Pelodiscus sinensis: one gene and its partners. The protein of the gene in region 1 purifies or fractionates together with the protein of each later gene. This does not show direct contact. Links are inferred from orthologs where the notes say so. Each region holds a gene or a part of one and is shown on either strand. Other genes may lie near its edges. The genes, in order: HDAC4, RUNX2, HIF1A and TBL1XR1.

Region 1 (7,583 bases):
AATGATTTTTTTTAAACTATGACATGACAATTGTTGCACAAACCAACATTTTATACAGTAAAACTCCATTTTAAACACACAGCAAATCAGAAGGAAAAGGGAACAAGGCACAGTGTATGGGCCAGAATGTTACCTGTAAGTTTCCTTTGATACAGTCATTTTGTGTTGTATGTTAACAGTATAGAAACAGCCTTGAAGTCATCATGAAAATTTGTTACACAAAACTATCTACGCTTACCAAACAAAATAATTCTGTCTTATGGTTTGCCAATTGATAAGTGTCTATTTGGCTCACGTATGTGGACAAGCATAATTTTGTAATGCTAATTTACTAATATCTCAAACAAGATAATACAACATAAGATATAAAAACTATCATAAGCATGAAATGCATAAGATTCTTTTACAAGTCCACACTTTAACCACGATGAATTTTGGTTACCATAAAAAAAAAATCAAAAGAGCTCCTTTTAATGGGTGTTGCATTCGATAGACTCACTTTTTAGCGAAGCATGTACACTGTGGGCCATCATCATGTTAGCACAGGCACATGTGCAGAAGGTGCCAGAAAAGATTCTGAGAAGTTTTATAAGAACACAGGCCACCACAACTCAGTTGTGTGCCATCTCCCTATTATAACTACGCAGTCAAAGCAGTAATTAATTACAGTTTAAAGAGCTGTCTTCGCTTCTTTATCCAGCAATCGCTTTTATATTTTAGTTCTGGGTTATGAATAACTGAACCATCCAAAGTCCTATCTTATCCAATGGAATACAGCCGGTCCCCAAGTTGCAAATGGTCGACTTACGACTGTTCGCAGTTACGACCAAAACTGTCGTAAATGGCAGACCCTGAGTTAGGAACGCAATCCGCGCTTACGAACAGCGCAGTCACATGTAACTCAATGGGGTCCGACTTACGAACAAACCGAGTTACGACCCACTTGCTTGGTCAGTAACTGGTTCGTAAGTCAGAAAGAGGATATATTTGCATATTTTCTAAACGTAATAGGTATTATCCTACCTATCTATTTTATTATATAATACACACACACACACACACACCCACACCCACCCACCCCCAAAATATATATCTCCCTCCCTCCCTCACTGGGGGGGGGGGGTAAAACTAAAGGACAAATTTGACTTTTGTTTTAAATTGGCTTAAAATGAAGAATTCTAAACAGCTTCATCAATTCACAAGTGAGCTCAACCTTTCTTATGCCAGAACCCCCCGCCCACACCCTTGCCACTCCAGAGAGCACGTCTTCTCTAGTAAATGGCTGAAAGGGACAGACTGTTGCACTGGCTAGGGAGGGAGCTCTCTAGGCAGGGCAGTAGGAGGGACATGAGTACACCCACACCCTCACTACTTCCATCTGCAAGGATCCCCCTGCCGCAGGAACACTCTCCCCCCCACAGACACCCCCAGTGCCCGTGACAGCCTACCAATTCCCCCACACACATACACCAGTGACTGCTGAACAGAGACAGGCACTCAGCCCTCCAAACCCCTGCACACAAACACAGCAACGGGTGGGCCGCACAGACAGCAAGTATCGGACAGACTGACCCACACAGCTTCCCCCGTACACAACAGAGCCAAAGCCTGACAGACAAATGCTACCCAACATGTACAAGTGACTGTGGACAAACACACAATTCCATCCCCCCCAATCGCACACACACATACATCCCATGTGTGGCTGTCCGATAAACATACAGTCCCCTCCGCACACACGCCACAGACAACCCGCCCCCACACACACACCCCCATGTGCCAGCCTGACACACAAAAAACCCCACCCACACATGCATATGCATGCACACACACAGCCTGGGTGCCTGACACCCTCCTCCCCCCCACACACAGCGCCCCAGTGCCAGACCCTCCCCCCCACACACAGCGCCCCGGTGCCAGACCCTCCCCCACACAGACAAACCCAGGGTGTCGGACTGCCCCTCCCACACACACACACTAGGTGCCGGACTGCCCCCCTCTCTCCCCACACACACCCCAGATGCTGCCCCCCCCACACACACACACAAACACAGACCAGGTACTGGCCCCCCACACACACCCCTTATGTCGGCCCCACACACACACGTGGACATGGACACCCCCCCCCTCCGCGTTCCAGCCCCCACACACACCCCGTGTGCCCCCCCCACACATCCCTTGTGTTGGCCCCACACACACCCACCCCCCGGACGCGCAGCCCCCGGACCGACCGGCGGCCCCGCCCCGCGACACGCGCTGGCGCGGCCGCTCCCCGCGCACTCACCGGCCGCAGCGCCCCACCGAGCCCCGCGCGCAGCGAGGCGGCACCGCGGCTCCAGAGAGGGCGGAGCCGCCGGGAGCCGGCGAGGGCGGGACACACCACAGCCCCGGCCCCGCCCGCCCCATTCACAAAAACCCCCGGCCCCGCCGCGCCCCGCGCTGACTGGCCGCGCCGGGGGTCAGTCACCTCGCCACCCGCCCCCGGCACCCCTTCGTCCGCCCTTATTGGCGAGCACTCGCGGGCCCGCCCTCCCCGCGCTGCCGCCCAATCGCAGCAGAGCGTGACCCTTCAAGCGGCTCAAATGCACCCGCCACTGCGGAAAGTACGCCCCCCATTGGTGCTCCGACCTGCCCATCAAACCCTGGTCCGGAACCCTCCGCGGTTCTTCGCTCCGGCCAGGGAGAAAAATAGCCGTGCGCGGCCCATCCCTTTAAGGGTCCGGCGGCCGCGAGCCGCCTCCGCAGAGCGAAAAAGCAGGCGGACAAAAATACCCGCAGCCTTAAAGGGGCCGCGCCGCGCCTGCCGCCTCCCCACGGGCGCGGCCCCCGGCGGAGCGGCGCGCGGAGCCGGTACTGACCTGTGCGGCGGCGGCGGGCGCCCGGGGCGGTGGCGGCGGCGAGCCACGGGGAGGGCCCGGCGCGGGGCGGACACAGCGGCGCGCGCGCCACCAACGGACTCAGCCCGTGATGGGATCCGCCATTTTGGAATTTTTAGATGGAAAGTCACGTGGTGCGACCATGTTTTCCCTGCACCAATCAGGAAGCGGCGGCTATTTATAGCACCTTCCCCCCCCCCCCCGCTTCCCCCTCCCATGAGGCACGAGGGGGGATGGGCCGCGGAGCCGGGCGGCGCGCGCGATGCGGGGGCGGGGCCGTAGAGAAACCGCCTTGTCCCCCCCGGCTCCCCACATCGCCCCCCCTCCCAAAACCCCTCCCGACATCAGCCCCTCCCAACCCCCTCCCCACATCGCCCCCTCCCGAAACCCCTCCCCACATCAGCCCCCCAACCCCCTCCCCACATCGCCCCCTCCCAAAACCCCTCCCCACATCAGCCCCCCAACCCCCTCCCCACATCGCCCCCCTCCCAAAACCCCTCCCCACATCAGCCCCCCAACCCCCTCCCCACATCGCCCCCCTCCCAAAACCCCTCCCCACATCAGCCCCCCAACCCCCTCCCCACATTGCCCCCTCCCAAAACCCCTCCCCACATCAGCCCCCCAACCTCCTCCCCACATCGCCCCCCTCCCAAAACCCCTCCCGACATTAGCCCCTCCCAACCCCCTCCCAAAACCCCTCCCGACATCAGCCCCCCCAACCTCCTCCCCACATCGCCCCCCTCCCAAAACCCCTCCCGACATTAGCCCCTCCCAACCCCCTCCCAAAACCCCTCCCGACATCAGCCCCCCCAACCTCCTCCCCACATCGCCCCCCCTCCCAAAACCCCTCCCGACATCAGCCCCCCCAACCTCCTCCCCACATCGCCCCCCCTCCCAAAACCCCTCCCGACATTAGCCCCTCCCAACCCCCTCCCAAAACCCCTCCCGACATCAGCCCCCCAACCTCCTCCCCACATCGCCCCCCCTCCCAAAACCCCTCCCGACATCAGCCCCCCCAACCCCCTCCCCACATCAGCGCCCCCATCCCAAGGCCCCTCCCTACATCAGCCCCCCCGCTCCTCCAGCCCTCCCCCCAAATCCCCTCCCCACATCAGCGCCCCCCCTCCCAAGGCCCCTCCCTACATCAGCCCCCCCGCTCCTCCAGCCCTCCCCCCAACCCCCTCCCCACATCAGCGCCCCCATCCCAAGGCCCCTCCCTACATCAGCCCCCCCGCTCCTCCAGCCCTCCCCCCAAATCCCCTCCCCACATCAGCACCCCTGCTCCTCCGGCCCCTCCCCACATCAGCACCCCCCTTCCAAGCCTCCTCCCCACATCAGCCAACCTGCTCCTCCATTCCCCTCCCCACATCAGCCCCCCGCTCCTCCAGCCCCCTCCCTACATCAGCCCCCCTCCGTGTTCCTCCCCACATCAGTTCCCCCCCCCCGTTCCCACATCCCTCTCTGCACATCAGCCCCCGTTCCCCTCCTGCTCCCATCCCCCTCCCCACATCAGCCCCCCCCTTGGCACCCTGCCCCCCCCAGAACTGGATCCTTCTCGCACCAGCTCCTGCTCCCACCTCATCTCCCCACATCACTCCTACTCCCACTGCCCCCCCCCCCGCACCAGCCTCTGTTTTGTCCCTTCCCACAACATGTTCCCCACCATCCCATCCATCCTGCACTAACTCCTGCATGCCCTCCCATCCCTGTGCCACCATTCCTTCCTCTTCCTGGTGCCTCATCCCTCCCACATAGCTCTTGGCACTCCGGAGTCCAAACAGCTGTTTGCCATAGGTCCCACTACCCTGTCCCCTTTAACTAGTGGTTGTCCCAAACCCCACATAGGATGTTGCAGACTATCATGGCCCTTAAGAGTCAGGAAGAGTGGCCCTTTCCCTCGCATGTCTCCTGGATGCGAGTAGCTGGACAACCTCTCACATCTACAGGAGGCTTCCAAAGATGGATGCTGTTCCTCCTCAATCCTCCAAGGAGTGTGTACTAACTAGTCTTTGAACTCCAACAGCTCAAAGATCATGAGTCAAGCCTTCCTTCCCACATCAACAGAATTTGCTTAAAAATCCTGAGATTTTTTTAAATGTTTGGTCATTTTCTGTACCTTCTGATTTCACATTGTCAGAGTTTGCACGGTCATGCGTCTCTGAAAATCACAAGGGCTTGCAACATGCTCCTTAAATGAAAGCTGAGACTGTCACACCACGGGACGCTAGGCATTGAGGTTTTTAAGAAAACCCACTATCACGACTCTTGATAACACTGCAAGAATTGACAGCGCTGTAGAAAAGTCCTTGTTTTTGCCCCAACCCACTGGAGCTCAGGCAGAGCTTGGCAGGAATTTTTGGCAGGATTCGCCACATGAAAGCAAGGAATCCCTAAGACAGCTCCCCCCACACACGCACACATGCACCCCATTCTCTGCCTACCAGACTGGGTGGGGTGGTGGGACTACAGGATTCTGTCCTGCAGGGAGCTGGGGGTGGAAGAGTTTTAGCCCTGTGCCCAGGCATGCACCACCTGGTGGGGCAGATTGAGTATGTCTTGTGGCTCTTGAACTTCAAAAAATTATTGGCTGAAGCTTAGAGGGTAAGTTAAGCCACTCCTGTACTTTCTGTTCAAAGCAGGGGCTGAGCTCCTTTGCCCCTCAGCTTACACAGGAGGTCTTCTGGCAGGCTCTCCCTCATCCAACTCCAGATCCACCTCCACTCACTGGTGGATGGGGGGGAAATGCGTGTGTGTGCAATAAGCACAGCAAGGGCTCGGGATGACGTCAGCGAGGCTGCAGAGGGGGCATGGCTGAGGGAAGGCTGAATGTGATGGAGTGCAGAGAAGGCGCATGTGGAATGTGAGGGGGTGTGGAATGGGGTTGAAGTTTGAGTTAGCTGAGCCTTTATGAAGGTGAATTGGGCAGTGGGGGAGTATAAAGTCAGTGCAAGTGGGGTGGATGTGCACAGGAAGCACCGGCATGTGTGGCACCTGTTTGAGTTGAATTTTCATGCCAGTTTGGCTATTCCTGTCCCTAAACAATGTCATCTGTGTGCCTAGAGCCCTGCCAATGGCAACCTTTAACAACCTCCCCCCCCCCAAAACTCCTCCTCTTCCACATACACATGCCAATTCTGACTCAAAGACCTGGCTTACACTACCATGGGAGATCCATCTAAGTTATGCAGCTTCGGCTACACGAATAAAGTAGCGGAAGTCAATGTACTTAGCTCTACTGACCGCAGTATCGTCACTGCGCCGTGTCAACTGGACGCACTCTGCATAAGGCGGAAGCCCCTTTTTGTTTCCTTTCTAGTTTATATTGGCAGGGGGGGTGGATTGTTTGCTCATTTTCTTTAGTTGGTGAAATTTTGGGTTTGGTTCTGAGCTAGTTCTGGGCCAAGTTGCATCAGTGTGCATTTTACTTTTTTGTGTGTTAATTGCTAAGAGACGGGGACAAGGCTCAGATTCTGAAAGATATGTAGGTGCCTAAATACTTTGGAGGATCTGGACCTAAGTAACTTAGGTGTTACAGTTTATTAATAGCTGGTAGAACAATTCACAGAATAAGATTTGGAGGTGCTTTAAGTTCCTGTATGGGTCTGATTGAGCTGTGATCAATGCAGGACCAAGGTTGATTTACGTCCACTTTAGTGGCTCCATTTTAGGGTTCAGTTGGGAGGTGTTTTGGTCACTAGCATAATTAGAGCAGGCTCACTGCCCTAAAAGGGGTCATTCCAGCATCTGAACATAACTGGAGCCTTGATACACTGCCTGTATCCCATTTCTTCTGGATATTTCCCCTTGTGCTTGGAGCTGAAGGCTGGGACCTAGGCTCTGACTAGCTCTACTTCTGAAGGAATTCCCAACTGGCCAGATTTGCTAGCTTCACGGTCTTTTTGCAGTGCTGGAGTACCACACAAAGGTGACAGCAGAAAAGAGAATTGTACCCTAGAAGATGCCTTATAGTATAGCTATTGTCTTCAAGATTTGATGGATGTATTATTGGTGCATGGGCATAGGTGCACCAATTAATATCCAGTTTACGGTAACCAGGGCATGGCACAATGACTGAAAATTCAACCTTGTTGCTGTCCCTCTAAATTAAAAATAAAAAAGTTAAGCCTAAGAAGCATTTCTACTATATGTTAAATTCAGGTGCATTCAGGGTAGTCTGTTTTCACACTGTAATTATTCTGAAAATTTTGCTTAAAAGCTATTGAAATCCACAAAAAAAAAAATCAGCATGGCTAATTCATAAAGGCTCAAATAAGATGCAATTAAAGTACTTCCCACCCACCTCTACCTTATCTTTAGCTGATTGCTACTTCTTGTTTGACAAAATGGTTACATTTTTTGATGTTCTTAATAAAAGGAAACAGATATCACCAGGCCCCAGCAAGTCTACCTCCCAGGCACGTGGATTGAGTGAAGGTAGAGTAAGACAGCTTGGGGGTTCCTGCTGCACTCCCCCCCAAACTCCAGCACTCTGGTACCAGCCCTAGATGTTGGTGATGTCACACTGTTTTGTAATTCTGGGCGCAAGTTTGACAGCTCTGTCCCCTCCTCTTCTCATTGTTCTTGTCCCCTTGATTCTATTTGCTTGTTCCTTCCTGCCATCCCACTCTTGCCACCACAAAAGAATACATACCTTTCAAGAGATCTCTGTGCTGGTCAGCAGGAGATCCCAGCATAGAAATCTAGGGT
Region 2 (7,472 bases), on another chromosome or scaffold:
AAACAGACAGAGAAAAGACAAAAAGTTTATAATGATTTTAAACAGCAACTATTGACTGCTTACTGGACTATATTTAACTAGAAGGACTTGTACAACAGAATACCAATGATAAGAAGAAAAATAATTGAGCAATAATGTACAAAAGCAGCAGTCAATAAGATATATTTGGCTTCTAAGATGCAGAACCTTGCTCAATGACTGAACAGCAGGCAAAGTTTTCCATTACTGTTGTTCAAATGGGCATTATGTGACTACTTTTTTTTTTACTGAATATGGCAAAGGAAGGTTCGTAACCCCAGGCAATAAGAGACAATTATGTTAGTTAGAAGTAAATTAATTCCCAATTAACAGAAAATTACTCTCATCTCCATGTGTAGAGAAGATTTCTGTTTTAGGGTTAAACACTTCTTTAGCAGTAAGAGTCCAAAGAGTAAACTAAGAAAAGACAACCCATATTTGCTTATACTGGAAGAAGAGAGAGAATTTTTCATACAGAACCAAACTATCAGCTTCATTCCATTTCTAGTTAAATTATGATTCAAGAGAAAAAAGAGGGTGGGGTGACAATGTATATAAAACAAAGGCAATCATAAACACACATGGAAAATTAGGCATTTATCCATTCAGTACCCTGGTGGCCTTTCAGCAAGAATGTCTATGAATAGCAATATAAGCTGTCATAAAGAAGTATTTCTATTAAATACTCTCTTTCTGCTAAATAGTACACAAGGTTTGTGGTAATAAGTTAACATTTGTGATACTGAATATAATTCATACAACTGTAACAATTTGGAAATTTAAAATCCAAGTAAACATTAGTCGATATAATGGAGTTTTCACAAAATGTGTAAATACCAAAATTACACACCTGCACAGAAATAAAATGTAAATAAATTAGGTAAGAAACTGCTGCACTGCTAACAAAACTATACCCAAAATGAGAATGACTTTTCTAAGGATTTGTGAAATGCAGAGTGACTTCTTGCCGACAGAAACAGGAAAATGCAACACTGTTTGAGACAGACCAAACGCAGCAGTATCTGTGAGTTTGATGCATCAAAAGTAGCAACATAAGGATATGGCATATTATAAAAATCTTATTCTTCTGGGAAACATAAAACACAGGGGATAAGTTATTCCTTTAAAAAATTAGCTGGTAGGAAGTTGACCATACCAAAAAAAAATTTTTTTAAATAGAAATATACTCTCTACGATGTATCCTATAGGTTTTATGCTAGATAAAGTACAAAAAACAAAATGTTTGGAAATAAGATAAAGCAAGGCTTACAGGTTTTGAAAACAAATTTAATAAAAGATCAAGAATATAATGGTATTAGATTTGTGTTGAAACTGATTTTAATTTCAAAATGAGACTTACTGTCTCCATAACTGAACAAGTCCATAATGGTCCACATGAACAAGTCCATAATTTACAAAGCAAATTCTTTAGCCTAATACTTATAGCTATAATTATATTAGTAGCCTAAAGTAATTTTAAGTTAATTTTGCTTTCTGAACAAAAGTCTTAAGTATAAGCCTGCAATTAAATTTGTTTACACAGTGAATGAACACAGTTGTCAGAAATAATATATCTTCATCACATTAACAGTTATTTTTGAAGAAACAAGTTGGTAGGTATTACGTCTATACATGTTTTTGTTTAAGAAACTCTCTCATAATTAAAAAGTTTACTTAAACAATAACAAGAAAATATTTGTAACACTGAGAAAACAAATTTATGTTCTAAATGAATATAGAAAATGTCTAAAACTACATTTCAATCCCACATGGTACAATGTGTTCTTATGGTTCAATGATCTTCACCCTGCTAAATGGAGAATTTATTGTGGCAATCGTAACCTGGATATCAAAGATAAATAAAATAGCCTGTTACTGTCCAAAAGGTTATCCCATTTAAGTAAACTAAGAAAAGAAACATTAGTTGAATGAACTTAAGGTACTCAAGTCAAAGTAATAAAAAAAAGCATCTTGTGTCAATTTTACTTCAGTGTATCCAGTTCAGAGATCCAGTCCTATGTGATGAGTATGATTTTCAGTTATTAAAGAAATGAATAATAATTAATGTTGGGGCTTCTGTCTTTTAAAATTATAAAGATCAGGCTTAAATGAGAGAAAATATAAGAATTTGCCTCCAACAGTAATCTATTATATGGTAACTGAATATACTTAGCATTAGCATAATATAGTATCTGAAACTTTCTCAACATGTAAATGTATTCGCTGAGATTTTGTACTTATAATTTGAAATTCCACAAATCATAGATACAAACACTTTCAAATGCTTTTATTATATTAAACGATGACTTCTAACTCACACATGCACACTTTGTTTATCCAACATAATTAATACTCTATTTATTCATTTTTATGCCTCAAAATGCTTTCTTGGTGATGACACTATCGTGTAATACAAATCTATATTCAGGGATACAAGAAGCCCATTTTTAGAGGGACAGGTGGGTTTTTGTTTTGCTGAGTTGATATCGATTGCACTTTTTACAAACTACATATATCAGTTCATACACTACCTAGTAAGTTTTCATTTAAAGAAACAGTCCTAGACATTTGGCAACCTCTATAGAACAGGTAAAGTGTTGAACTGAAGACAATATAGTGTACATTCCAATACATATTGCGTTGAGATGTTCAGAAACAGGATTGGGTTTATATTTTTCTGATAAGAATCTGCCAAAGAAAAGCAAAATGTACAAATAATAATTTTACTGAAATACTCGTTTTCCATCTCCTCTCTCCACACTCCATCCACCCACCCACCCAAAATAGAAAGACCCTGCTCTCCGCCCATCTGTCATCCAATTAGTTTCACACCACTTCTAGTCAACTGCTTATTGCAGAAGCAATGGAGGAGATAAAGGGGGAAAGGAGTGAGGAAAGCCAACTGCCAGAGACATGCTTATGAAGAGTTTTACAAATAAATGATGAAAAATGTTCAGAAAATTTCAAGTCTGTATTTCTTTTCTGCCTTTCTTCTGACTCCCCACATACAAAAAATAATGGAATTATAAAATACAGCGCTCATATGATACAATCATGCTAACAATAAAATGAGTTTTACACAAACACATGTCCAAAGGGAACAAAAATAAGATAGTTTCTTAAAGATGTTTCCAATTTTATTCTGAATCTGACTGAGCAAATCAAGACTACTGAACACATTATTCTCTACTACACACAGCATTTTGCAATTTATTTCAAAGTCTCTATTATAAACAAAAAATACTGCTTTTGTTAACACATTGTGTCCTGATATACTAAAAGATTATATTGCACTAAATTAAAGCTGTAGTCCATTAAGCATATACAAATATTACACATGCATATTATATTGTGTTTAAGCCTCACATATTCATCAAAATTATGTTTCATTTTCAAAGTAAGCACTAACATTAATGGCAAAATAAAACTATTAACAGGATCCCTCAAAAAGTCTCAGGTGATACTGTTTCTCTAAAACACTTAAATTGTAAGTAATTGATGTTAGCAATCAAAATTCCATAACCAATAAAATTCACAGTTTAATAATGTCTATTTCAATCATTAAATGTTTTATTAAAAAGCATAATTTATAATACAGTACTCAAAGTAGTTACAATATACAAATGATAGATTCTGCAAAAAAGCCAAGACTGATAAATAATTGCCCTTAATTTTCATTATATAAAGCTGCCAGCTAATCTTAAGGTACATAAGCAAGACAGACATGATTTAAGATTTGTAAAGGAATACCCAGACTAACGCTTCTCTGACAGCCAATTACACTACAAAACACAGCCCCAACAAGCAGGCTGCTACCAGACCTTAGGAAAGGTAAAATTTCTTACAATGAGTTACAGATTCACAAGTATAGGAAGACAAGAAGAAAAAGAAAAACAGAAGGAATCCAGCCACCCAGCAAATATGAAGCAGACCCAAGATTGTGATACAATCCAAAGATGTAAATTATTGTAAATCATCACTGTTGTTCAGAATTTCACACAGCCACTTGCGCCAATTTTGCTTACTTTTCCACAGACACAATAATGAACAAAAGAAAGAATGAAAGTGGGTGGGGGGGGGGGGGTGAGGGAGAGCCTGTACTGAGAGTACAAAGTTCTGCTGTCCATATGCTTTAACTGTACAGGAGTTTGGGCTCTTTCAGCATTTTGTACTCTCTCCAAATCCTCATGAGTCACAAAAATTAAAAAGCTATATCCTTCTGGATGCCAGGAAGGGCCTTGCCACAGGCCTTTTGTCAAAATAAAATTAAAAAAAAAAAAGACAAAGAAAAAGAAAGAAAAGCCACATTGGTAGGCAGTCCCACTTACTTTGAGGACTGTGATGTCACAAACCACATGATTCTGTCTCTCCAGTAACAGTGCTTCCAAAAAAAAAAAGGAGTTTTAAAGCTTTTGCTTTTTTGGATTATGTGAATGCTTCATTCGCCTCACAAACAACCACAGAACCACAAGTGCGGTGCAAACTTTCTCCAGGAGGATAGCAAGAAGTCTCTGGTTTTTAAATGGTTAATCTCCGCAGGTCACTACCAGCCACTGAGACCAACCAAGTCAGTAAGTGCTCTCTAACCACAGTCTATGCAGTAATAGTAGGTCCTTCAAATATTTGCTCATTCTCTTTTTGTTTTGTTTCCTTGCTTTTCACGTTATCAGTGCAACACAATTTTTTGACAGAAAAAAACAAATACAGAGTTTATGCACTCTAGACACACTGTAATACTAAAACTGGGATTGGGTATGGTTTGTATTTTCAGTTTAAGGCTTCAAGCAGTATTTACACCAGAAGATACAAGTTGCGTGTGAAAACAGAGGACTATGGCATCAAACAGTCTGTTCAGCTCAGTGACACCATGTCAGCAAAACTTCTTTTGGGGTAAGTATTATGTTTATTTAATTCTATCAATGCTCACTGACTGCCATCAAACCAAAAACTTGTTAAATAATATTTATGGTATTTAGAACGCATAGTATATTTGGGAGTAGTCATGAAAAAGAGGTTACCATAAATAACACATGTAGATTTAAGCACTAATTTGTTAAATAGTAATCTGACAAGGTAGGCAAAGTGAAGTCACTATACTGTACAATCCAGCGTTTGACAGCAGGTGTGCTGTCACCTTTGTAAGTCACTGTTTCTAGTTGTATGCATTTAGCAAAGTAAGATGGTGCTCTGAAAAAATCAAAAATCTTATTAAAATATGAATATTAAATGAGCACAATAAACAATATCACAGAAGAGCATCAGGTTCAGAGGCAGGGGGGGGGGGGGGTGAAATGTGGCATTTTATAGCTCCAGCATCTTTGCAATGGACAAATGAATTACTAATTTATCACTGCTAGTTCTCTGTATCTGAAGAAAATAAGTAAAATACAGGACTTAGAAACTTCTCCTATACAACTGCCCTACCATTGTCTTAAATGTTTCATAAACTAAGAAACGTCATTTAGCATAAACGTCAAAGTATTCAGCATTAATCTAGAGTCAACCCCAAAATCAGTAAAACACGCATTACAATGCATTGGGCTCTTTAAAAATAGTTTTTCTAACTACATTTTAATCATGAATCAGTTGAGATCATTTTTCTGTAAAAACTATTCATATGTGGAATTTAAAAATGTGGAAGAAATTCAGTTTAATTTGTAAGTAGCATTTTTTTAGCAGCTCTGTATAATAGTATTTTGCCAAATATCAGCTTGATATTCAAAACTGTAAACAGGTCTTAAAATATCTTCATTAAATAATAATTAATTACACATGTGTATATTTACATACATGTTCCATATACAGAGTACATATACGCTGTAAATTGATATTGCAATCACTTTAATTTTAAACCTTCCCCAGACCTGTTTTTTAAAATCAATAAATCACATTTTAATCCTCTATTATATTAATTATCATTCGCTAAAACTGAATAATTATTTTCTGATTTCTATGAAATTCACAATGCAGCTGAGTGTTAGCTGAAAGAGTGACAGCAAAATCCCAAAGCATCATAATAGTTGATCAGCGGTCAGGTATACATGCAAATTTTTTAACTGAAACAGGTCAATAAAACTATCTGATTGATCTCAGAGAAACCAAAAGAAAAGCACATGAAAACTTACAAGATTTTCTTAATGCTGTCCATCATGCTGAAACCTTGTTGGGGTTGTAGCTAAACTTTTACCTCTCCTCCCCCACAAACACTTCAGAGAACAAAAAAAAAAAAAAGGATGCTAGAAATACTTTCAGCACATACACCTAGATTAAGCTTATATTGTAACTAGCTTATGGTTGGAGTTCCCTTTACCCCTCCTACTTCACACGTTTCAACTGGCTAGTAGTTAAGCACATGAATGTACTGTAAGTCTATAAGCACAATCAAACAAAGAAAGTTCATATTTAAGGAATAGAATAACTTTAATTTATGATGTACAAAAGCACTGATAGACTACATAGTGCTGCTTCTCAGCACTAGCTGTCTGAAAGTGCTCATGCAAAGGTGTACTACACATAATATTGAGGTAAAATATGGACACAAAAAAATAGACTTTTTAATGGTAGGCAGTATTTCTACTAAAACTGCTGTCCTAATGAAGCGCAGCCGAAGTGTAGCCAGACCACATTATCCCAGTGTTTACAACAGGAAATACAGTTTACATGTATAGGGACTTTCTTTTGCTTTTACTTCCAAAAAAGATTAGGAGAAATTTAGTTGGCTAAAATTATCATAACATGAAGTGGTGACTGCTTAATTCATCTACTTTTGGCCATTCTTTAAGCTACTGAATAATGTTCCAATGTGCTTCCAAATTTTGCATATATAGGTAAGGCTGAACAAATAAATGTGTCTTTTGAGACAAATTACAATGAATTTCTAAAGTAAGAGAAGAATATCTCCTTGACTTTATATTTAATCTTAAAAAAATAAGAATAGAGGCTAGAAGATCAAATTAGTGTTTCCAAGCAAAATAGCGTGGTTCTGTATAGAATGCATAATCCAACTATGATCTTCATTATAGTCAGGTCCCGCATTTAGTCTCCTCCCATTCTGTTCTCTAATTTATTCTTATTGGGCCTGTTAAATTTGATGGCGTTTTTCTTAAGAACTCACCTGTGGAACTACTGATGGCTGACAGCAGAGCCAAGGAAGTAAAATGCATCAGACTTCTGATCTGCTTATCAATAAGTTTAATAGTATCTCTGCAATTTTTTATTTTACCTGATGCAATGCATTTTAATCGTAACTGAAATCATCATGCATTTTCTATAACTTCAAAAAACAAATTCCTACTTAATCTAATGAATTCTGAATTATCCAAAAACTGTGTTCTGTATTTAAACTGTTGTACAGCACAGGTAAACGTAGAGCTAAATCCCAGGCTGGACTGAGTTCTGCCTGTGAATAGTAACGCTTTGAATCTTTTAATTCAAGCCTGTTAATTTTGAGTTTG
Region 3 (7,117 bases), on another chromosome or scaffold:
GTTCTTGGATGAGAAATCTCAAAGGATAAAAAGAATCCATGACATATGTGTATCAGATTGCAGCAACTATTCGCCCTGCCATTTCTGTTTAAACTTCAAAGTCACCATTTTCTTCAGTTGTATGCAAAAAATGACTTTATCTGAGTTGTTAAAATTAAAAACCTACATATATAAAAGCCAGGGAGTTAAGGGTATCACAGCACCACCAACTTGCACCTCAAGGTGCTTTCATTACATTATAAAATATGTACAGAAAGGTATGCCAAAATTATCTTTAAAAATCAAAGATAATAAAATATTATCTTCAACGGGTGTAGCTCCTTGTGTATCATTCATTTAAGAGTATATCAAATTACCCAGCCCTAAATGAGCATTTATTATTGTTTGTTTTATCATTTATTGTGGGAATGTCTACAGGTGAACCAAGCAGAGGGCTCTATTGTATTAGGCACTGTACAGAAAAGCAGACAGCACCTGTCCTGAAGAGTTTATAATCTAAATTGACAAGATAGACCCAGCATGGGAAAGGAGACAGAGCAGCTGCAGATCCATGTGATGGAATATAATGAAAGCTTTTTAGCACTTCTGAACACCCTCTGTATCTCACTTATATTTACCCCTCACAGAATAAGGCCTATAATCCACATGATCGAGAAGACATAGTTAACATTGCAGGGGAGCCTTCAATGCTAATTCCACTGACTCGGACCAAAAGTTTCTTTCTCCACTCTCCTTAGCTGTGGTCATGTGGGCTGTGTCTACATTTGTACTCTTTTCAGTAAAAGGGATGCTAATGAGACAAGTCGGAATTGCAAATGCCGCGGAGGGTTTAAATATCCCCCGCGGAATTTGCATGAACATGGCTGCCGCTTTTTTCCGGCTCGGGGTTTTGCCGGAGAAAAGCGCCAGTCTAGACGGGATCTTTCAGAAAATAAAGCCTTTTCCGGAAGATCCCTTATTCCTCTTAAAATCAGGAATAAGGGATCTTCCGGAAAAGGCTTTATTTTCCGAAAGATCCCGTCTAGACTGGCGCTTTTCTCCGGCAAAACCCCGAGCCGGAAAAAAGCGGCAGCCATGTTCATGCAAATGCCGCGGGGGATATTTAAATCCCCCGCGGCATTTGCAATTCCGACTTGTCTCATTAGCATCCCTTTTACGGAAAAGGGTGCCAATGTAGACATAGCCGTGGTGTGTCATGTTCTTGGTGCTTTTCTCTTTTCCAGATATTTCTTACTGTGTGTCTATATTTGTTAGGCTTCCTTCACAAAGCTTACTATGTCAATCTGGCTATGTCTAGACTGCAAGCCTCTTTCGAAAGAGCCTTTTCAAAAGATTCTTTTGAAAAAGCCTCTTTTGAAAAAGAGTGTCTAGACTACAACCAGTACTTTAAAAAAAGCAAGCCACTTTTTCAAGAGAGAGCACCCAGGCAGTCTGGATGCTTTATTTCGAAAAAGCACAATTTTCTATTACATAGTATCTTTTTTCGAAAGAGCACTTTCGAAAAAAGGCGTTATTCCTTGTAAAACAAGGTTTTCCATGGTCGAAAAAACTGCTGCGTTCTTTTGATTTACTTTCGAAAGACTGTGGCAGCAGACTAGACATGGGAAGTTTTTTGAAAAAACCCTGTAGTCTACACCCTCTCTTCACCAACAAAGTCTTGGCTTGTACTTGTGCTGGCACAGTTGTCTCTTGGTTTTTTATTTGAGTTTGCTTGCAAGTTCGTTGGGAAAGGACCTAGTCTTTTTCTGTGTTTGGTAAAGCACCATGGATGCTCGTCATGCTGCATACGTAAAATACTATGACATCTTTTGGTACCAAAGGTACTAACTAATTGTATTATATTCAGCACAGAACATTTTCTTAATACTATATTAACAGAACTTATTTTACCTGTATTGTATTGCAAAAGACTAGAGTGATAAATGGTTGCAGGTGTGTACTATGGTTGCATTGCAGTCATATTTCTCCTACAGTAAGGCTACGTATTCACCAGAAGTCGGTCATCCCATTGCATCAGTCCTCCTACTGAAGTTGGTAGGAGTCTATCTGTTATCATAATGGGAGTTGGAGTGGATCCACTGAACCCTGTCTTATAAACCATTATATTCCCAAGTGGCTTTTTGCAGGTGAGTAGTCCTATTAATATAAATAGGACCACTTCTATGTATCAGGTTATTCATGAAGAGTCTCAGGATAGGGGACATAATTTTTAAAAGACCTTATTGTTTTATTAGTTGTGTCTATTTGTTCTATAAATGGAAAGTTTGTGGTCTGAGCCATGCCCGGTGACTTCTAAACAGCAATGTTTGAATCATTGTGTAGGGCAGGAAGACATATAGAACACTGCCTCCTGCCATTTTCCATGCTCAGCTGCAACAGCAGTTCTGATGTGTAGAGCCTGCACAGACACACAATCTGCTCTCCTGCAGTCTCTCCTGCCAGTGTCATGCCCTGGGTCCCTGGTGCTGCTCCACACACCAGGGCTTTGATCCTGACCTCAGCTAGGGGTAGGAGAAGGCAGGGTAAGGGGGAAGAAGTCAGCACTCCCACCCCCTTAAAAATGTTCCCTGGGCCCTAGCAGCTGGAGTTTTTCTAGCATCACTGGGGATGTGTGTGGGGGAGGATCTCTAGCTTCTCTGTGGGTAAGGAGTGTGGCAGTGACATCCTCAGGGGTCTCTAGGCTTCTCAGTGCAGGGGGGCCTTGGAGTCAGGCTGGGGCGGGAGAGTCTCTTCCTCACTGTGTCTGGGGGGCAGGCTCGAGGTTCACTATGCATGGGGGGCGGGGTGTCACTAGCCCCACTGAGCGGGAGAGAAGAGAGAGTGTCATTGGCAGAGAGTCTCTAGCCCCATTGTGCAGGGGTGTGTGTATAGGAGGCAGCCTGGGGGTGTCTCTAGTCCCACTGTGCTGGGGGGGAGGGTTGGAGTCAGGGTGGGGGTGTCTAGCCCCACTGTGCTGGGAGGCGGGGGCCAGAGGCACAGGGGTCGCTAGACTCACTGTGCTGGGGGGGGGGGGGGCTGATGCGGGGGAGTCTCTAGACTCATTGTGTTGGGGGGTCGCTAGACTGTGTTAGGGAGAAGCGGGGGGGGTCGCTAGACTCACTGTACTGGGGGGTCGCTAGACTCACTGTGCTGACGGGGGTGGAGGCAGGGGGGCTCGCTATACTCACTGTACTGGGGGGGTTGCTAGACATAGTGCTGGGAGGGAGGCAGGGGGGTCGCTAGACTCACTGTACTGGGGGGTGGCTAGACTCACTGTGCTGGCCGGGGGGGGGGGGGGAAGGCAGAGACGGGGGGGTCGCTGGCGGGGGGGCCGGGGGGGTCGCTAGACTCACTGTGCTGGCGGGGGGGGGAGCTGGCGGGGGGGTCGCTAGACTCACTGCGCTGGCGGAGGGGCCGGGGGGGGGTCGCTAGACTCACTGTGCTGGCGGGGGGGGGGAGCTGGCGGGGGGGTCGCTAGACTCACTGCGCTGGCGGAGGGGCGGGGGGGGTCGCTAGACTCACTGTGCTGGCGGGGGGGGGGAGCTGGCGGGGGGGTCGCTAGACTCACTGCGCTGGCGGAGGGGCGGGGGGGGTCGCTAGACTCACTGTGCTGGCGGGGGGGGGAGCTGGCGGGGGGGTCGCTAGATTCACTGTGCCGGGGGGGAGGAGGCGGGGGGGTCGCTAGACTCACTGTGCTGGCGCGGGGGGGTCGCTAGACTCACTGTGCTGGCGGGGGGGGAGGAGCCGGGGGGGTCGCTAGACTCACTGTGCTGGCGGGGGGGGGGGGAGGAGGAGGAGGCGGGGGGGTCGCTAGACTCACTGTGCTGGCGGGGGGGGAGGAGGCGGGGGGGTCGCTAGACTCACTGTGCTGGCGGGGGGGGGGGGAGGAGGGGGGTCGCTAGACTCACTGTGCCGGGGGGGGGTCGGTGCTGGGCTCGGGGCCCCGCCGCCTGGCCCCGCCCCGAGCGCTCTGCAGGCCGCGTCCGCGCAGGCCCGGGCGGAGGGGGCTCGTCCCCCGCACACAGCCCGACACGTGCGGCTCCGGCCCCCTCGCAGCTGTTGGCTCAGCTGACCCAGCCGGCGAAGGGGGCCGGGCGCCCGGCGGCCGCTCAGTGGCTCGGCGCCGGCTCGGGCCCGCCCCGCCCGGCCGCGGCGCCCCACCCCCGGCCCGCCCTGCGCGCTCAGAGCCGCCGCCGAGCCCGGCCCTGCCCCATGCGCTGAGCCGCCCCGCAGCAGCCAGGAGCCGCCGCCATGGAGAGCGCCGGCGAGAAAAAAAGGTACCGGGGCCGCGACCCCCCCTCTCCCGGGGCCTTCCCCTCCCTCAGGAGCGCCCCGCGCGGCCTGCGCCCTCCCCCGCTCTGTGGGGCTGGGATCCCGCCTGCCGGGGGGGAGCCGCTGGGTCCTGCCGCTCTCTGCCCAGCTCGGCCTCCCTTGGGGTCCCCTAGGCAACGGGGGGGGGGGGCCCCTTCATTCCAGTGCCCGTCACATTCCGGTCCCCCCCATTTCCAGGCCCCCCCTTTTCCTTAGCCCCCCACTCCTGCCCCCCACCCATCGCGGCCCTCCGGAGAGGGCTGCTCTTTCATTTCTCCTCCTCCTCCTCCCCGCTGTCCACGTCGCCATTTTGTTGGAGGGGGAAAAGGGGGGAGCGCTGGAGCTTAGACAATTAACATCCAGGATTTGCGTGGGGAGTTTTTTTTGGGGGGGGGGGCAGTTCTGCTTAAAGTCTTTTGGTCGCCCCGAGGAATCGGTGGCACTTCATGCACGAGGCCCCCTGGGATTCAGTGTCTTGCAGCTGAGACTTTTTTTTTTTTCTTCCTGCCACTGAATTTCAAAAAATAAAACCCTTGGTCTGCTCTTGGCTTGGAATAAGTAGGGACTGGCTTGCAGTGGATTAAATATGTGTGTTCACCAGATTTCCTGGCTCAGTGCGGTGTGTAATTTGTTAATGTGTGAGTGTAATGAATATTAGGCTGCGAAGAGGGAAGGATTGAGTCTGGAAATGGGATTTAAGAACAGTATCCATGTTCAAATATCTATATAATCTGTCAAAAATAGGCAAACCCCGATTGATGAAGGTAGAACAGTTAAAGGAAGCAGAAACGAAAGTGTGCAGCTCTGTACTAGCTATTTCGAAAATTGACATTTTGAAAGCTACATTAGGAGGAAGGAGAATGTCTGTGTGTATATGTTTAGAAAATAAACACAGTATTTTTTGTGATTGGAGTTGTACCATAACATACTGAGTTGAAAAGGGTAGGTTAACAATGAACTGTGAAGTTTTTTTTTTGTTTTTTTAAATTAAGGCATCTTCTGCAATTTTGGTGTCCATAATTGGCTATTTTTGTTAGGGGGGAGGAGTAGAGATTCTTAACATGTTGAACCTATAAGTAGCAATTCTTCAAGATATTGATTTCCTAGAAAAGAGCTAATTTACTGAACAATAGATGTTCCAAGTGTAAATAACTTTCTTGGCGAAGAATTTTCAATTTAGATTTAAAAGGGAGAAACGAAAGCTTCAAGAAATAAACCTTAATTGTATGGTGAAGGTGTAGAGTTTGCTGAGGAATATTTTAGTGATGAGGTTTTTAGCTTAGACAAATTCCTCCAAATGAGGTTTGTGGAGGGATTAATTTAATCTCTATCTGTAGAAGGCAGAGTATATTTATGTTGTTGATACCATTTTTGAGATCTTGGACTTTGGATCAGAGAATCATCTGACTAGGTCAAATGAGATATAAAATGCTTTACTATTTAAATGATACTGGGAATGAGAGAAATGCAATATCTTTGTGGCTGAATTAGCTTTTCATGGTGAATGTTGATTTTGTGCAGCTAGAGCACATACTCTGGGTGAAAATACTGAGCAATTTTCTTGGGGAAACACCACCTTTGCACCAGTTTTAATTGTTTGTTTTAATAAACAAAAAAACCCTGTGTAACAAAATGCATACAGTAGGGTACGTATGGGTGGTGCCTATTATAATCCATGTATAACTATCAGGGAGCCTCATAGAAAATGTTGCATCATAAGTGAATGACCTTTACCAAGCTTGGCCCAGTTTAAAGCTGGTCTGGAAAAAAATTAGGAATTCACTTTTTTTTATAGTCCTGTCAATCTCTGTCCATGACTGTTGTTTTTCATACTTTTCCTGCTCATAGTACTCATAGACTTTAAGGTCAGAAGGGACCATTATGATCATCTAGTCCCGTGGTCCCCAACACGGTGCCCGTGGGCGCCATGGTGCCCGCGGGGGCATTTGCATGCGCCCACCAGGTGCTCGGGGCTGGCCTGGCCCCGGGCACATGGCGCACGGTGAGCGCCGGCCCCGGGCGCGCGGCGCTTGGGGAGGGGAGGGAGCGCCGGGCGCGCGGCGCTTGGGGAGGGGAGGGAGCGCCGGGCGCGTGGCGCTTGGGGAGGGGAGGGAGCCCCGGGCGCGCGGCGCTTGGGGAGGGGGCCGGCCCCGGGCGTGCAAGTGTCCCCGCCCTCTGGCGCCTGGCGGGCGAACGGCCACGCCTCCTGGCGCCCGACAACCTCAAAAGGTTGGGGACCACTGATCTAGTCTGACCCCCCACACAGTGCAGGCCACAGAATCTCACCCACCCCCTGCTGCTGGAGTTGATCTGCCTTTTGGGGGTAGGGAGGGAAGATTTGCTGGGGGGCGTGATGTAAGAATCTGTGTATCTAGGAGAGAAGGAATAAACTCAAGGTGAAGCTCAAGAGAGATAATTTATTGGTTGCTGCTTTTGGAGACCTACTTCAGTGTGGGAAGAACTTCCATCTGAATCTTCCTGTAGCATTGTCTTTACGGTAAAGTATTGCGGCATATTGAGTACTCTTCTGGATGTTATAAACGTATAGAGCAAAGATTTGGGTAGGTTTTTAAAAAAAAGGAAGGACATACGTTGACATTTACGCAAGCTGGAACAGAGAACTTGTTGAAAGTCTGTGTTGAGAGACAAGGTGGATGAGGTGTTGGTGTTAACTTTTATTCTGCCAACTTCTGTTGGTGGAAAAGGCAAGCTTTCAAACTACACAGAGCTTTTTTTCACCCACCTTGTGCATCTAATATATCTGGGAACCAGTAGGGCTACAACACTGCAAACATCAAGTGTTACTTAACAGTCCCACATTGTTTGA
Region 4 (7,582 bases), on another chromosome or scaffold:
TGCTTGTGCAGTTGCTTGAGAGAGTCAAATGCCACCTGCCTAATTAGCAGAGAACCCACAGCAAAGTTTTGTGTTTCTTTTGGCGCTGCACATTTGCTCATGCCTTGGTGCATGTGAAAAAATTATTCTGCACATGGATGGAAAAGCTTAGAGGGAACATGGATTAAGGAATTCATCAATAAAATCTCAGAATTACAATAAGTACAAGACACATGCAGTAGAATGTCAAAAGATACAAACACCAGTGTTATTTACTTATCAGTCAACTGGACATCCTGTGGCACTGGAACGCCTCAATCATGCAGCAGCACAGATACAAAGGGAGGAAATGCAAATCTTGTAGGGCTTGGGGCGGGGGGCTTTACCCCTGAGGTTCAGGGCTTCAGTCATGGAAGAGGAAGTTTGGAACATTAGCCACAGGGTCGAGGCTCTGGGTGGGGTGGAGGTTGGGGCTTCTGATCCTCAGGAGCTCTGAGGATTTAGATTGAGGTGGAGCTCGGTGGCTCAGGGCTTAAGCTCTGAGGGAAGCACCAATTTCATCCCTAGCACTCCCCCGAAGCTAGAGACCTTCCCGATTGGGGCATTTGAGGGGCAGAAATAGAGCTGTGGGGAGCTGGGAGCTGCATGACTGAAGCCCTATAAGTCCCATCAATCTCCACAGGTCTAAAGTGCTGGGTCCTGATGCTTCTGCTAGGCACAAGTGCTTAGCTCTCCTCCCTTCCTCCCCCGGCTGGAGACCTGGAGCTCCAAAGGGTCAGAAACCTCAACTTCCCCTTCCCCAGCCCTGATCCTCCTCTGAGCCTGCGATGGCAGCCTCCAACCCCACACATGACTGAAGTCCATAACTACTACTTCAGATGCTGTAGAACTATTTGTTGTTTTTAAAGTTTTTACTACTTCAGCGTTATGGACAACAGCCGTTCCCGAGTGCCTGTAACACTGTATTGCAGTACAGTGTACTGCAGAATTTTCTTGTCTTTCAAACCCCCGTAAAGCAATTTCTAATATGTTGAACACAGTGGAATGTGAAGGGAATGTTGACTTGTTCTTCATCAACATCACTTTCATTATGTGATTTGTTTGTTTTCTGTCAGGAAAAATAGCTTGTATAACTGGTCATTCATAAGATTGGTGTTTGTAAAATTGAGGTTCTGCTGTAGTTGGAGGGAGACTGAAAGTGATGTGCCGCACAATGCTAATGTGCTCAGGAACCCACCAGATCCAAAGTCTCTCAAAGTTTGGATCCAGAGTTTAACCACATCTCTGAACTTCTGATAGGACCAAACCACAAAAGTTCCATCTCCTTTAGTATGAGAGGGCTTGGAAAAAATAACAGTGCTAAAGATTATTATTTATTTAAACATGACTCCCTAGGTTCTACACATAACCCAACTCTGTAAATCCTAAACATAGATTACTCATTTAACAAGCACCCTAAATAATCTTCCTTGTCCAATTACCCCATATATCTCAACCCAGCAGACTGAGCTCAGATTTATGCAGGGACAAGAGTTCCAAGGTCAAGGGCGTATAATAGAAACTAGAGTTTCACATCCTAAACAATGCTGCCATGGAATCAAAGAAGGAAAGAATTAATCTTTCAAGAAGCAAGGTCCCAAATTATTGAAGGCTTTGTAAATCAAAACCTACTCCTGTCCTGCAAACACAAGTGTGTGGCCCTGTTGATTCCATCTTGTCTACTCCCATGCTTGTAGTGAAACAAATGTTGGTGTTGGTATGAGTGGGGCCTCATTTTATATTTTTTTTATTTTAAGATTGTGTAAGTGCTAACATTATTAAAGCATTATGTACCAAAAAGCACTCCACAAGGTCTATTAATTGTTGTATTTATCGACACATGCACAAATATACTTACTTGTTCTAGGCCCCTTCACAATTTTCAAAATTAAAAATCATTTTTTTAAAAATATATCCATCCAGTAACAATCTGAACCCCCCAAACCAAGTGGCTTCTACATAAGAATATATAACTGACTTTCTGCGGTCCTCAAACCCTGCATGTGATCCAGCTGGCTTCAAAGTCCTACTAGACTCTAGCATGTCTTAAAGCAGGGTTTGGTAACCTTTCAGAAGTGGCATTCACTTTCTATTTACAGATCTGTGTTCCCCCAGACCGAATCCCCATGGGTGCAGAGCCCTGAAGGCACCCAAGCCCCCACTAGCTTCCTGTGTGTACAGGGTCCTCTGCCCCAGTGCTGCCGCCTCCCACTGAAACTGGATGGAGCGCAGCCTAACCTGGTGCCAGGGAAGGAGGAGGGCGCTAGTGGCTCATGCTCCATGAGAGCTGTGCAGCCCAATCTGCAGCCTGCCCCGCAGGAACAACAGAGGTGGATGCCCAGCGGTGGGCAGGACTTTTTCGTTGTGGGGAGGCTGGGCAGAACTCCTCCATGTGTAGCTCTGTGGTCTGCCCATGGAGGTGGGGGCTGAGTTTGCTTTCTTCACCTCCCTGCCCTGTCCCCTGGAGCTGGGGTTGCAGCCTTGCAGCTGTGCACCGGCTGTGAGGCTCCAGCGGCAGTGCGGACTCCCAGCGTGCCACTCAAAAACATTTTGTGTGCTACTTATAGCACGTGTGCCGTACGTTGCTGACCCCTGTTTTAACGGCTGATAGACTTGAGTTATTTTGGCTTCGTAATTAAAGAATTTGAAAAGAGAAAGTGCTATACTCCATAAAGGGCTAAATACATATTAATAATAACAAAAAATTAACAAAGACAAGCACCAGGGCCCTCAGCCTCCACAGTTGAACAGTTCAGGGCCATCCTGTCCAGGTGGAGCAGACTCTCCCCAGCAGTGTGAATTTCACCCTGGCACCAGATCCTGCAGTCAGATCCACACGAGGATTATAGGGAGTAGGGCTTTGTGCAGGCTCAAGCGTCTGCACGTGCAAATTTGACTGCTGAATCAGAGCCTGTAAGTGTGATCCACAAAGCACTTTAAAATGCAAAGCATTGTGTACTAACAAATATGATTCACACTAATGAAGCTTGCTTTAAAACCCTGTGACATAAAGGCTAAATAGTATTAAAGTGTCCTAAAACAAACAGCATGGCATTATTATCAATAAGACATTTTATATTCTGAAAAAGAAAGCAGTCCCTGAATGCAATTGGTCTAGGTAGGTGTTCCCTTGAGCATGGGTGGAGCTCTGGAGTTAACCCTCTCAGAACCAATTGTAGGATGGAGGCCTACCATTGTTAAAAAAAAAAGAAAAAAATTTAAAATAAAGCATTATATACATGCTAAATGCCAATATTATGGAAATGCATTGGACATGAAACATGTTCTGGAGGCGTGTAAAAGATGATTGACAATAAAACCACACTACCCAGCATTACTGCCCTACGATGCAGGCTGTTGCATGGGTGTCTGGGTGCATGTGCGTGTGTGTGTGTGTGTACACATGCATGGTCTTAAGGGAAGGTGTCTCATGCAATACTGGAATCCCAGCATCCACCCCCACTCCTTGCTTGTTTTTCTGGCTGCTGCTGGTTTGTACATCATTCATAACAAGGCAACACCTGGCAATAAGGCTGAGTGTAAAGTGCTGCCAGGCCTTGGGGAGTATACTGTATGCGTGTTCCTGGAAGCAGAGGAGGGTCTCTGCCGAATGCTTCCCCTCTGTGCACACTGCTTGCTTTGCTTTACATGGTCTTGGTAATAATCCTGGGCAATATCGCTTGATACAGCTTGCTGCAAGCGGTGTGTGTGTGAAGTGCGAGGGTCTCCCTTCACTGTACTGGACCCCCGTGTCCTTCCCGCTTTCACCCTGCTGCTGCTTTGCAGGCTGCTGCTACGATATATTCTTAATAATCAACCAGTGCCCGCCTTGCACTGTTGCCCACCTCTTACGCAACAAGCTGGGGCAGGAAGGAGCAGGGCTCGCCCTGGGTGCCCCTCACCCCTCTGGTGGGTGGTGTGCCTAATCATAAAGGAGCCTGGCCAGAGGGCCCTGTGCAGCTGGCTGGGAAGGCATGTGACAGGGAAGGTGGCGGCGGGGAGAGGCGGGTATCTCCCTTGGCACCCCAGGATCCCACCCACCCTGCTCCCAGGCAGCATGTGGCTGGCCCCTGCGGAATCCTGAAAAGCAGCCCTGCCTTGGCCATATTGCCTGGGAAAGGGGGGGGGGGGGGCGTGTGAGAAGAGGAGGGTCTCCCCTCCCCTCCCCCATGGCTGGGCTGGAGGCTGGTGGTTGCTTTTGCAACCAGCCGCCCGGGCCTGCTGCTCTGCTCCTCGCCCGTCTCTTTCTCTCTCATTTCTGTGCGGCTGGCCACCGCGCGCGCGCTCTCCCCAGCGCGGAGTGTCTGAGCCGTTGGCTGCTCCGAACCGTTTGGCTCCTTCCCTTAGTAACAGCTTTTTACATTCTGCCTCGATTCCTCTTCAATCGAAATCACACACACAGGGTCCTCCCCCTCCGTGGGACTTCATCGCCCAGCCCTTCCCCCACCCCTCCCCCCCCACTCTGCCTTGGGATACCATTGACTCTCACAGCCCTGCGGGGTGGCTATTATTTTTCTCTCCCCCCCCCCCTTTTGCTATTTTTTGCCCCCCCCTCCCTTTTTTTTTTTTTTGGATGGTTGCTTGGAGTGGGCACCTCGGCTGAGAGGGAGAGTGTGTGTGTGTCTGTGTCTCAAGCTGTAGACAGAGGAGGAAACCCAGGGTGCATTTCTTTTGCCTCCATTGCAAAGGAGAGGGGGGAGGGCAAAAGCAGCCACTCAGCCATCAACGGCAAGGTAAGGACTTGGGGGTGTTCTGGGGCTTTTTTTTTTTTACTCTCCTGGGCTGGATCAAGTGCATCGGGGGGGGGGGGGTGATGGAGCCTCTTTCGGGGTGCGGGGGTGGGGAGAGGCTGTGGGGGAAGTGATCCAGGGTGGGGGGAAGGGAGCTGTGTTTGTGTCTGTGATAGTTGGGGGTGGGGGATGGGCACCAGTGTAACATGCATTTTTTTCCCCCCCCCAACTTGGGTCCCCCTTTTTAAAAATGTATTTTTTTGGGGGAGGGGGAGCTGGTGGTTTCTATTGTAAATTGCACCTCTGTAAAGCTTGTTTTTTTGGAGGGTTTTTTTGCCTTTCTTCCCCCTTTCTTATTTCTCCCCTCCCCCCTTCCTCCTCTCCTTTGGATTTTATTTTAAAGGCTTTAAGGGGGGGGGGGGATTTGCAGCAAATTGAATCAAGGAGCCATCATGAGGCAGGCTGGTTTATAGCCTATTTTTAGCCTGATTTGTGTAAAGAAGAAGAATCCTCCCCCCCCCCGTCATATTTACTATTTCTAAAATAGAGGGCGGGGGCGAGACCACCCCAAAGTGTGACCTTAGGTCTGTATTTATTTTGCAGTCGGCTTATGGGTTGTGTCTGCAATGTATATTTTTAAGAAAAGCTGGGGAGAAATGTGCTTGTGTCTGAACTCATGCTTGAGTGGGGGAGGGGAATCTGTGTCCACACTTTCCTCTGTGTGATTTTTTGGGGGGGGTTATTTATTCTCAACGGTGTATATTGTCTTTCATTTGTAACTTAGAGGGGTGTGTTTCCTTTTTGTTTAACTACATTTGAGATACAGCCCTGGATTTAAGGGAAGAAAATATCTGTATATGTAATTAATTCCCCCTCCCCCCTTGTAAAGTGCTAAAGTTATTGTTGATCAGTTTCCTGTTTAATTCTGGGTGGATTTCTGGGTCACATTTTCTCTGACAGGATAAGGGCCACGTGTAAAAGACAACTCATGGGCCCTAGTTTTGCAAATAAGCCTTTATACCTGTTAATGGGCTATTTTTTAAAACTTAATCAGAAATTCAAAATGAGCCAGTCAATCTTTTTTTGTGCATTATATATTTTAAAAAAGAGCTTTACACCTAAGTTACGTGTTTTATTGTGCTGCTAGCTGACTATATTTACCCATTGTATGGGCAAAATGCATACTTCACTATATTATTTAATGGGGTAAACATGTATGTTAAGATTGTTCCTAGTGAGTTCAATCTTTCATCACCAAATTCCCTTTTCTGGAAAATGTATAATAAAAATCTCCTTAAGTTGTGCTTAATGGCAGAGTCTTGTTGCTTGAGAATGCATGTTTAGTTTTCAGGATAAAGTTTCATCTGTAGTTGCTGTTCAGGGTTGCAGAGTAAAGTTTGCTCATGGTCTTTGCTGTCAGATGTACCCAACAACCTCATTTTCCTGTCTGTATAAATCAAAACTTTACTGATTTATGGAAGAGATCGCAAAATATGCTTATTCTTTGTTGTTAAAGCATAGGATATGGAGAGTCATGATCTGGAAAACTGTGTTGTCCCATAAAACATCTGAGCCTGATTGCTGTTGCTTTGGTGATCTGGTATATTGAATAGATATTTGAGGGCCTCACAAAACATATTGACAAGGGAAGGGTCTTTATTATATATGGCCTATGCTCTCTGGATATTGAATGTTGGCTTTAGGTAGGACACAGTGTAGACAGAAGTGCTGTTGGCAGAGTTCAGGTTTAAGTTTTGAATAATGCCTTAAGTTTTAGGGCCAAATTTTGGGTCTTGATTGTGCACTGAACTTTGCCAAAGCTCAGATGTCTGGCCTTGGCATGGACATCTTAATATTAATCTTTTCAGCTTAAAGTTAAAATTTAAGGCTCAAATCCTAGAAACACTTATGCAGGTGTGTAACTTTAACCACGTGAGTAGTTCCATTGGTTTTAATGAGACTATTTATGAACTTAAAATTAAATATGTGCTTAGATTTTGATAGAGCCTGAGAATTAAAAAAAACTTCATTGTTAAGGTAAATCTGCTTAGTATAGCTGTTCATGTTATGTAAATAATAATAAACATTCTGTAGCTTCCCAAAGTGATTTATTTTATTATTAATTACATATTACCTGAGACTCTCTCCTAATAAAATTCAAGATCCTGAGAGTGAAGCGCAGGCTTGTCTCCGTGAACACATGGTTCATGTTGGAATGTGTCTTGGGAACTTTGTGGCAAGTCTCCCAAAATAGTATTCTGAACACCTAGAAAATATTTATCATTCACTCCATATGGGAAAGAGGAGAAGGAAATTTAAACATGCAAGAGTAGTTGGGACTTGAGTTGTTAATTTCAGCCTATACACAAGGGTATACAGTTGATATTGTTCATTTAAATGTTTTCTTGCTTCAATGAGAATAATAAATGTTGATCAAAATTATTAGACATAATTGCTACTCAGCATTCCCCCCCACAAAACAATATGAATGAAAATTTTTACAAATGCCAGTTTTAGTTTTTCTTCCAATAAGTGATGTTTCGTACATGGCTTTGAAGTTGCAAAGCATTATATAAATATTAAGCATTGTAAAACTTTACTGTGACTTTGTAATTATTATCACTCAGATAATGAGTGTAATGAATGTTGTTAAATCCTACAAACATGAGGAGATGGATGAAGTACATTGAAATGGTCAAAATGTGAATATATTGTATGTGTATCTATTTGCTTTGTTTTTAGTTAATTTTTTTAGTGAGGAAGAATAGATCCAAGTGCATGTAAAGTATATTGAATGGTTATGGAGTTTACCATAACACAGGAGTTCATGTTCA

Evidence for each region.
Region 2: the proteins of HDAC4 (region 1) and RUNX2 purify together in Homo sapiens (affinity purification with western blotting; 3 studies listed by BioGRID). This does not show direct contact. The link is inferred for Pelodiscus sinensis from reciprocal best matches to the Homo sapiens genes HDAC4 and RUNX2.
Region 3: the proteins of HDAC4 (region 1) and HIF1A purify together in Homo sapiens (affinity purification with western blotting; 4 studies listed by BioGRID and IntAct, with this or other methods). This does not show direct contact. The link is inferred for Pelodiscus sinensis from reciprocal best matches to the Homo sapiens genes HDAC4 and HIF1A.
Region 4: the proteins of HDAC4 (region 1) and TBL1XR1 purify together in Homo sapiens (affinity purification with mass spectrometry; 3 studies listed by BioGRID and IntAct, with this or other methods). This does not show direct contact. The link is inferred for Pelodiscus sinensis from reciprocal best matches to the Homo sapiens genes HDAC4 and TBL1XR1.

The regions. Positions count from the first base shown.
Region 1 is NC_134717.1:63,920,080-63,927,662, reverse strand, and holds the start of HDAC4 (histone deacetylase 4), read right to left. Parts: upstream 3,008-7,583; 5' UTR 2,859-3,007; intron 2,851-2,858; exon of another isoform or gene 2,629-2,850; intron 2,437-2,628; exon of another isoform or gene 2,285-2,436; intron 1-2,284. UniProt on the Homo sapiens protein: Responsible for the deacetylation of lysine residues on the N-terminal part of the core histones (H2A, H2B, H3 and H4).
Region 2 is NC_134713.1:11,418,260-11,425,731, forward strand, and holds the start of RUNX2 (runt-related transcription factor 2), read left to right. Parts: upstream 1-4,463; 5' UTR 4,464-4,589; intron 4,590-4,789; 5' UTR 4,790-4,850; coding exon 4,851-4,908; intron 4,909-7,472. UniProt on the Homo sapiens protein: Transcription factor involved in osteoblastic differentiation and skeletal morphogenesis. Essential for the maturation of osteoblasts and both intramembranous and endochondral ossification.
Region 3 is NC_134714.1:13,950,697-13,957,813, forward strand, and holds the start of HIF1A (hypoxia-inducible factor 1-alpha), read left to right. Parts: upstream 1-4,105; 5' UTR 4,106-4,230; coding exon 4,231-4,256; intron 4,257-6,537; exon of another isoform or gene 6,538-6,787; intron 6,788-7,117.
Region 4 is NC_134720.1:43,459,834-43,467,415, reverse strand, and holds the start of TBL1XR1 (F-box-like/WD repeat-containing protein TBL1XR1), read left to right. Parts: upstream 1-4,561; 5' UTR 4,562-4,751; intron 4,752-7,582. UniProt on the Homo sapiens protein: F-box-like protein involved in the recruitment of the ubiquitin/19S proteasome complex to nuclear receptor-regulated transcription units. Plays an essential role in transcription activation mediated by nuclear receptors.